2 linked regions of the Sus scrofa genome follow. The protein of the gene in region 1 purifies or fractionates together with the protein of each later gene. This does not show direct contact. Links are inferred from orthologs where the notes say so. Each region holds a gene or a part of one and is shown on either strand. Other genes may lie near its edges.

Evidence for each region.
Region 2: the proteins of PAGR1 (region 1) and NCOA6 purify together in Homo sapiens (affinity purification with mass spectrometry; 3 studies listed by BioGRID and IntAct, with this or other methods). This does not show direct contact. The link is inferred for Sus scrofa from reciprocal best matches to the Homo sapiens genes PAGR1 and NCOA6.

The regions. Positions count from the first base shown.
Region 1 is NC_010445.4:18,051,777-18,055,516, reverse strand, and holds the start of PAGR1 (PAXIP1-associated glutamate-rich protein 1), read right to left. Parts: upstream 2,839-3,740; 5' UTR 2,363-2,838; coding exon 1,881-2,362; intron 1,719-1,880; coding exon 1,636-1,718; intron 1-1,635. UniProt on the Homo sapiens protein: Its association with the histone methyltransferase MLL2/MLL3 complex is suggesting a role in epigenetic transcriptional activation. However, in association with PAXIP1/PTIP is proposed to function at least in part independently of the MLL2/MLL3 complex.
Region 2 is NC_010459.5:38,145,398-38,149,047, forward strand, and holds part of NCOA6 (nuclear receptor coactivator 6), read right to left. Parts: coding exon 2,904-3,650; intron 858-2,903; coding exon 711-857; intron 1-710. UniProt on the Homo sapiens protein: Nuclear receptor coactivator that directly binds nuclear receptors and stimulates the transcriptional activities in a hormone-dependent fashion. Coactivates expression in an agonist- and AF2-dependent manner.

The sequences.
Region 1 (3,740 bases):
TCCTTTAACCCAGAGCACCAGGCCCAGGATTGAACCCGTCCCTCTCCAGTGAACCAAGTCACTGCAATCAGATTCTTAATCCACTGCACCAAGCAGGAACTCCTCCTTCGGAGAATTTAAAACAGAATTGGGAGTTCCTGTCGTGGCACAGCAGCAACAAATCCTACTAGGAACCATGAGGTTGCAGGTTCGATCCCTGGCCTTGCTCAGTGGGTTAAGGATCCAGTGTTGCCGTGAGCTGTGGTGTAGGTCGCAGATGTGGCCGGATCACGTGTTGCTGTGGTGTAGGCCAGGGGCTGCAGCTCCAATTGGACCGCTAGCCTGGAAACCTCCATTTGCCACACTTGAGGCCCTAAAAATAAAATAATAATAATTTAAAAAAATTTAAAACAGATTTGAGCTGACTTATGTTTTGAAAGAGAGACGGCTTGGATCAGGGTGTCACATTAAAGACAGAGACTAGTAGCTGAATTTGGAAATGTGGAGGCAGACCTAACAAGACTTGCTGCTGGTTTGAATGTTGACATAAAAGAAAGAGAAATCGGGAGTTCCCGTCGTGGCGCAGTGGTTAACAAATCCGACTAGGAACCATGAGGTTGCGGGTTCAATCCCTGCCCTTGCTCAGCGGGTTAACGATCCGGCGTTGCCGTGAGCTGTGGTGTAGGTTGCAGGCGCGGCTCGGATCCCGCGTTGCTGTGGCTCTGGCATAGGCTGGCGGCTACAGCTCCCATTAGACCCCTAGCCTGGGACCCTCCATATGCCGCGGGAGCGGCCCAAGAAATAACAACAATAACAACAACAACAACAACAAAAAAAGACAAAAGACAAAAAAAAAAAAAAAAAAAGAAAGAAAGAGAAATCAAGAATGGCTCTGAGAGGAGTTCCCGTCTTGGCTCAGAGGTTAACGAACCTGACTAGTATCCATGAGGATTCGGGTTCGATCCCTGGCCCCACTCAGTGGGCTAAGGATCCGGTGTTGCCATGAGCCGTGGTGTAGGTCCCAGATGTGGCTTAGATCTCATGTTGCTGTGGCTGTGGTGTAGGCCAGCAGCTATAGCTCTGATTTGACCCCTAGCCTGGGAACCTCCATATGCCGCAGATGCAGCCCTAAACACACACACACACAAGAGAGAGAGAGAGAATGGCTCTGACGGTAAACTCTAGGCATGGGAAGCTAGGTCAGATTAGGAGGTGTACGCAGTAGCATAGGGATGTGGAGCTAGATAATGACCAAGAAGACTCGGACTTCTGGGATGGGGGTGGGGGGGAAATGAGACCAAAGGAATGGGAAATATGATAGAATTACCTGTGATAATCTTTTAAAAGAAAATTGGGTACCACCTAGACTGGAAGGATGGCAACCACTGAGTGCACGCTCTCCCCTGAAGCTGTGATTTGTGTAGCTACCAAGGAACCAAGCAGAGACCTTTTTTTTTTTTTTTTTTTTGACCACACCCATGGAATGTGGAAGTTCCCAGGCCAAGGTTCGAACCTGTGCCAAAGCAGTGACAATGCTGGGTCCTTTGCCACTAAGCCATCAGAGAACGCCTCAAAGACCTCTTTCAGGGAGTCCCTTTCGGAGTAAGTGGGAACAGAGGCCCCCCCGCGCCCCCCATTCTCCACTCTTGTCTGTACCTGGGGTGCGCCTCCGGTCAATCAGGGAGTCCTTTGGTGTCATTGGCTCATCATCAAAATCAAATTCTGTGGGCATGTGCGGCCTGGGACAGGTGGAGAGAGAGAGGAGGGTGAGGGAGATCCTTCCAAACCTCCACTGGTGCTTCTCCCGGGCCTTCGGGCTCTTCCCCTCCCTCTAACTTCCCATGCTCCTGGGTCCCACCTCCCTCCCTATTTCCTCCTGGCATCAAGGAAGCAATCCTCACTTTTCCTCTTCCTCCTCTTTGGCCTCGGGTTCCTCATCAGATCTTTCCTCTTCACTCTGGGCCTCAGGCGTAGGTGGTCGGCGGGGCAGGATCTCTGCCTGAAGCTCCAGGGTACCGTGGGCAGCCAGCAGTTCATAGAGCCGTTGGATTTCGGAGGGAGGTGGCATCCAGGGCTGCCCATCCTCAGGCAGCTCCACCTCTTCATCGCTGCAGGGCACGCACCAGTCCTCGGAGTCTCCCTGGGCGGGCTCTTCCCCCTCAGTGCTGGGGGCTTCTCCCTGCACTTCCTCGGCCCTGGACCCCTCATGTTCGGCCTCCTCCCGGCCTCCTTCCCCCTCTTCCTCGGCTTTATCGGCCGAAGCAGAGGGGCCTCCGGTGTCCTCCACGGCCAGAGCCTGGAGGCCGGAGGTCACTTCCCCTTCTTCAGACAGAGGCGCCGCCGCGGTGGCTGCCGTGTCTCCATGACCCCGGACAAGGGACATAAGCCACTAGGGAAGGGGCCCAGCGATGCCAGGAGATGCAGGAGTACCAAGCCGGGGATTCCCCCCGCGCCCCCTCCCTCCCTCCACTCCCTCCCAAAAAAAGGGATCACCCCGGGGTTCGGGGACTGTTTCGCTAACCAATCAGGCTCCAACAGCGGTCTCGCGACCAGACCACCGGTTCCCAGGAGGGGGCGCTCAGTCCCCTCCAAGGACCCCGCCCCCCACAGATCGAGATCCGGTACTCCGAGGTTTCCAGCGAGCGGCAGAAACCACTTTCCGGGCCGGAGACGGGCGGACCCGCTCTTCTCGCCTCCGCACTACGCCGCTCTACACCTGGATGCGGCGTCCTCTCCCCACACCTCGAAGGTCCCCCACCTCAGCGGCCGTACGCACCTGGAGCTAAGACCCGCCTCCCGGGCCGCGCAGGGTCAAAGTACGCAGGCGCACAGATACGGCGCGGGAGGCTCCGCTTTAGTCAAAGCTACTTGGGAGAGGAAAGCAAGGGGAGGCTTGCACATGCGCAGGTAGGCGCTCGGGAACGATAGGCTTCGGCCCACAGTAAAGATGGCCACGGGGGTGGCGCATGCGCAAATCACCTAGTAGGTTGTGCCCCAAAGGAGGCTGTACCTCCGGCCCCGCGGCGCAGGCACGTAAGGACCAACTGAGGCTGGAGGCGAGTATCATGCAGTCTCCGTTTATTGGTGTTTCAGACTCATGCAGCATCCGGCATACAAAAAGGGAGAATCAGTTTGATGTATCCTTTTTTTTTTTTTTTTTAAAGACTTTTAGGTTTTTTCCCTACGCTTTTTTTTATATTAAAAAAAACACAAAAAAACCAAAACCAAACCAACTCCGAACCGCGTTGTGGCTCAGACCCTGCCTCCCCAGTGAACTGTCGCGTGCAACAAACCTCTCTCGTCCTCTTAGAAAATAATCGCAGCTCTCTCCGCCCCTTCTTTGCTCCCTGCAGCTGGGAGCTTTGGTCCAATTTTTTCTGTTCTTACAGTTACAAAGCACGTGAATGACTCCAGCCGCGACGCCTTTAACAAACCGACTGGGTTAAAAAGCCCAGGCGGGGCAGGTCAGCTCGGGCCGACCGGGGAGGGTTCGAGAGCCTCGCCCCTCCCTTCTACCAGGTGCTTGTTCGGAACAGTACCCGCCACCCCTGCACAAATCTACAAACGAGGCCCGGCTTGCCAGCTCTGCGACCCCGAGGCACCCCGGGGGTGTCTGGGCCTGGGTAGTCCCTGCAGAGAACAGTCGCGAGCCCGGGCTAGGGAGCCCTCTCCAGACACCGCTCCCCTCCCCCAGCCTGATCTAAGTGCTGGAGTTTTTGCAGAATAAACGGTGGAGGAGGGTGGAGGAGAGGATGCAGAGG
Region 2 (3,650 bases), on another chromosome or scaffold:
ATGTGGAGGCTGCCAGGTTAGGGACTGAATGGGAACCGTAGCTGCTGGCCTACACCACAGTCACAGCAATGTGGGATCTGAGCCGCGTCTGCGACCTATACCACAGCTCACAGAAATGCCAGATCCTTAACCCACTGAGCAAGGCCAAGGATCGAACCTGCGTCCTCAGGGATGCTAGTCACATTTGTTTCTGCTGAGCCATGATGGGAACTCCAGAAACACTTTCTTTAGTGTCCATTCACTAACTCAGGGGTCAGCAAACTATGGCCATGGGCCAAATCCATTGCCATTGCCAGCTTGTAAATAAACAGTGTTTGGAACACGGCCATGCTCATTCATTCACGTATTGTCTATGGCTACTTTGGTGCTACAAGAACAAAGTTAAGTAACTGCAACAGAGAACATACAACCTGCAAAGCCTAAAGTATTTACTATTTGGTTCATTTCAGGAAAAGAAAAACAAACAAACAAAAAAACCCCCAAAAAACCCTGCTAACCCCAGCTTTACCTCGTTTCATCTCCTTTCTTCAGGTGTTTCTAGATTTTCGAGACATTCTACCTACTTTTGATATGTCAGTTATTGCCCTGAAAGAATAATTATTTATAGGTCCGAAACTAAGAGGAAGAACTAGGACTTATATTTCTCTGTATATCCTTGTGGTCCACACAATGCTCAATAAATGCTTGCTGAATAAATCACAAAAACAAACCTGCATGCTGGACATTTTGATTTGCTTGCAGCTGAGGGGCTCCTGAATTCCCAGGGGTAGTTGCTGTGGTCGAAGGCACCTGACCTTGCATAAAGTTCGGATTGGCCTGTCCTGCTGAGAAGCCAGGTGGGAGGCGTTTAGGCATTCCTTAATAGAAAACAACGAGTAAGGCAGTTACCTAGCAAATTTATACTCTTGCTTAGATGTGGAATGAATAAGGAAGGATGAGCTGCATGAAGCCTCCACTGGCTTAGCTCTCTCTGTCACACTGGTAGGATCTTTAATAATAAGGTTGGGAAAGATGGTTAAAAAAATCAACACAATCTCTTACATGAGCATTGTCAAAATGAAAAAGAAATACTAAAAAATTTACACTTAGAACATGCCAAGGAAAAGATGGCAATCTGCTCCCTAAATGTGATCTGAGGCCACGTCACAGCAAGGTTTAGGGCTCACTTTTCTCTGTGATACTATGGACCCCAAAACTTTACATACTTTAACACAGGTACCAAAGGAATACGCTAAATTCTCTTATAGTCAAATAAGCTGACAAGAAATACTATAAAACAAAGACCTGGGTCCTGATATTAAGCATAGATAGATGACTTCTTTTCCCCTCCATTGAGGGAAATGAATGACAATTTTCTTTATGGAAAATTTCTCCCCAATATTGTACTTGTCTCTTTGGAAGAGACAAGAGATTAGAAATAATTCAAAGGAATGTCAAAGTGACGATATGTTAAATTTATCATTACACCTTCCCCTCAAATGGTTTGCTGCAATTCTGACAGCTATAGTACCAAAAACTGCTTGAACAGAATCTTACTAAAGTAATACTTTCTTTCATAGGAAGGTTTAATTTAAGAAAACAAAATTGTAATAAGAATCTCAGAATCCACTCACTGTTTATAACAGGCCTGGATGTGGCCAGATCACCTAGGTGAGCATATCATTTGCTCTATGAAAGCATCAAGACCTAAAGCTCACTTAAAATTTTTTTGTGTTAGTCCATTTACTTAAGGGCCAAATTTTCAATGTCCTGAAAAACGCTCTGTAGACAAATATGCATTTGTCCTTTCTTTAGCAGTGACAAGTCCCCATTTACATGCTTCCATTGTAGTTAAATCAGTAATCACATTTGCAGGAGAGACTACCCAGCTTCCACTGATCCAAGGCTAGTTGCCCAGAACAGTGAAGTTTGGAGCTGAAATATTCTTGCATTTTCTAAAAACTTCTTAGGATTCAAATATTATAGCCTGCATGTCAGTAAAAGTAATTACAAGAGAGTGAAAAGACTGATGAGCAACTTAATTTTACCAGAAATCATGGGAACATGCCTTTGCTATGTTGCACTAAAGATGCAAGGATTTTTTTCTGGGTAGGCAATGGGTGTCTTTTGGTGGGGGTATGTTTATCAGATGATAGTATTCCTGATACTCTCTATACCTTACTGAAAAGCTCCAAGCACATTCATGTGCACTAGATCAATGATTAATAAGAATAAATAATAAACATGGAGATGGATAAGTTTTACTGTAATCGTTTTACCTCTCACACATTAAGCTCCATTGCTTTTTCTTCATACAAGAGGCACCTTACAAAATAAATAAATAAATCTCCTTTAGGTATAACTGGTGGAATTCCCTCTCTAAGGAGCAGGCATTGGCATTATAAAACTATAAAAGTCAATGATTCCTGAACTTATTCCCCTTTAATACTTTAATCAAATTTAACAAATACCACGCTATCTACTAACCAGGATTATCAAAATTGAAAGCTAGACGGGCCTTTTCCCCAACAAACCCTATACTTATCTTTTCATTTTTGCTCTATTACATAATCTTAATTTTTTCAACAGCTGAGCAGCTTAAGTTGTTAATAAACTCATGTTTCTTCTGGATGTTTTAACTTACTACTACAAGATCAAGCAAAAATATTTTGAAAAAGAAAATGAACATCTCTATATTGAATTTTACCTGTTTTTATCCAGAGGGCTAGCTTAAACATAACCAGTAAGATGCTGCATCATGCATCAAGTTAACTAAGTTATATAATCAAATGCCATCACTGCATCCACAGAAACAAATAATTACATCCTTATTACACTACCCTCAATTAACTCTAAAAATTGAAGTTCTACTAAGATCTATCTCCAGTAAATTCACCAACACAAACAGCTTCAGTGTTCCTCACCTCCTAGGCCTGGATGTAAACTCTGTGGCCCCTGATTTGGTGCTTGCTGCTGCATCACCATGAAGTTAGGTGGCACGTTTCCCTGTTGAACCATAGGATTCCGACCTGGAGAGCTGACAGGCTGCTGAAATCCCTGGGGAAGTGGGTTATTTTGAGGTGGCCTTGGTCCCATCTGCTGCTGAGTTTGGTTAACTGTTGGGGAGGATGCAGGGGATCCCTGCTGGAAGGAGGAGGGCGAGGAGGCAGGAGACTTGTTGGTGAGGTGGGGCTGCTGCAGGGGGGTTGGGACCCGAGAGGGTCCTCCCTGCAAGCTCTTCATCTGAGGAGCTGTGAACTGGCCTGGGTTGCTCATCTGAGAAAAGTTTGTATGGGCTTGTGAGGCTTGCTGGCTGCCAAAGGGATATGGAGGGGGAGGGTGGGAAGGTGTCTGTACCGTGGCTAAGGATGGTCTTGCCTGGAGTTGCTGTTGCATTGGGCCAGGCAAGGGAGCCTTCTTCCACCCTTGATTTCCAGTCATTGTGCCCAGAGAACCCTGGGCTGGAGGAGGCTGAAGGGCTCCCGAAGGCAGCTGATTCCAGCCTGGAGGAACAGGCACCTGAGTTGGGGCAGTAAATTGGGGTCGAATTCCCTGTGGCTGTTGTTGCTGATGTTGCTGTGGGGGTCTTGCCTGCAGCTGCTGCTGCTGCTGCTGCTGTTGCTGCTGCTGCTGCAGCTGGGGAAAATTAGCTGGATTTATTTGTCTGTTCA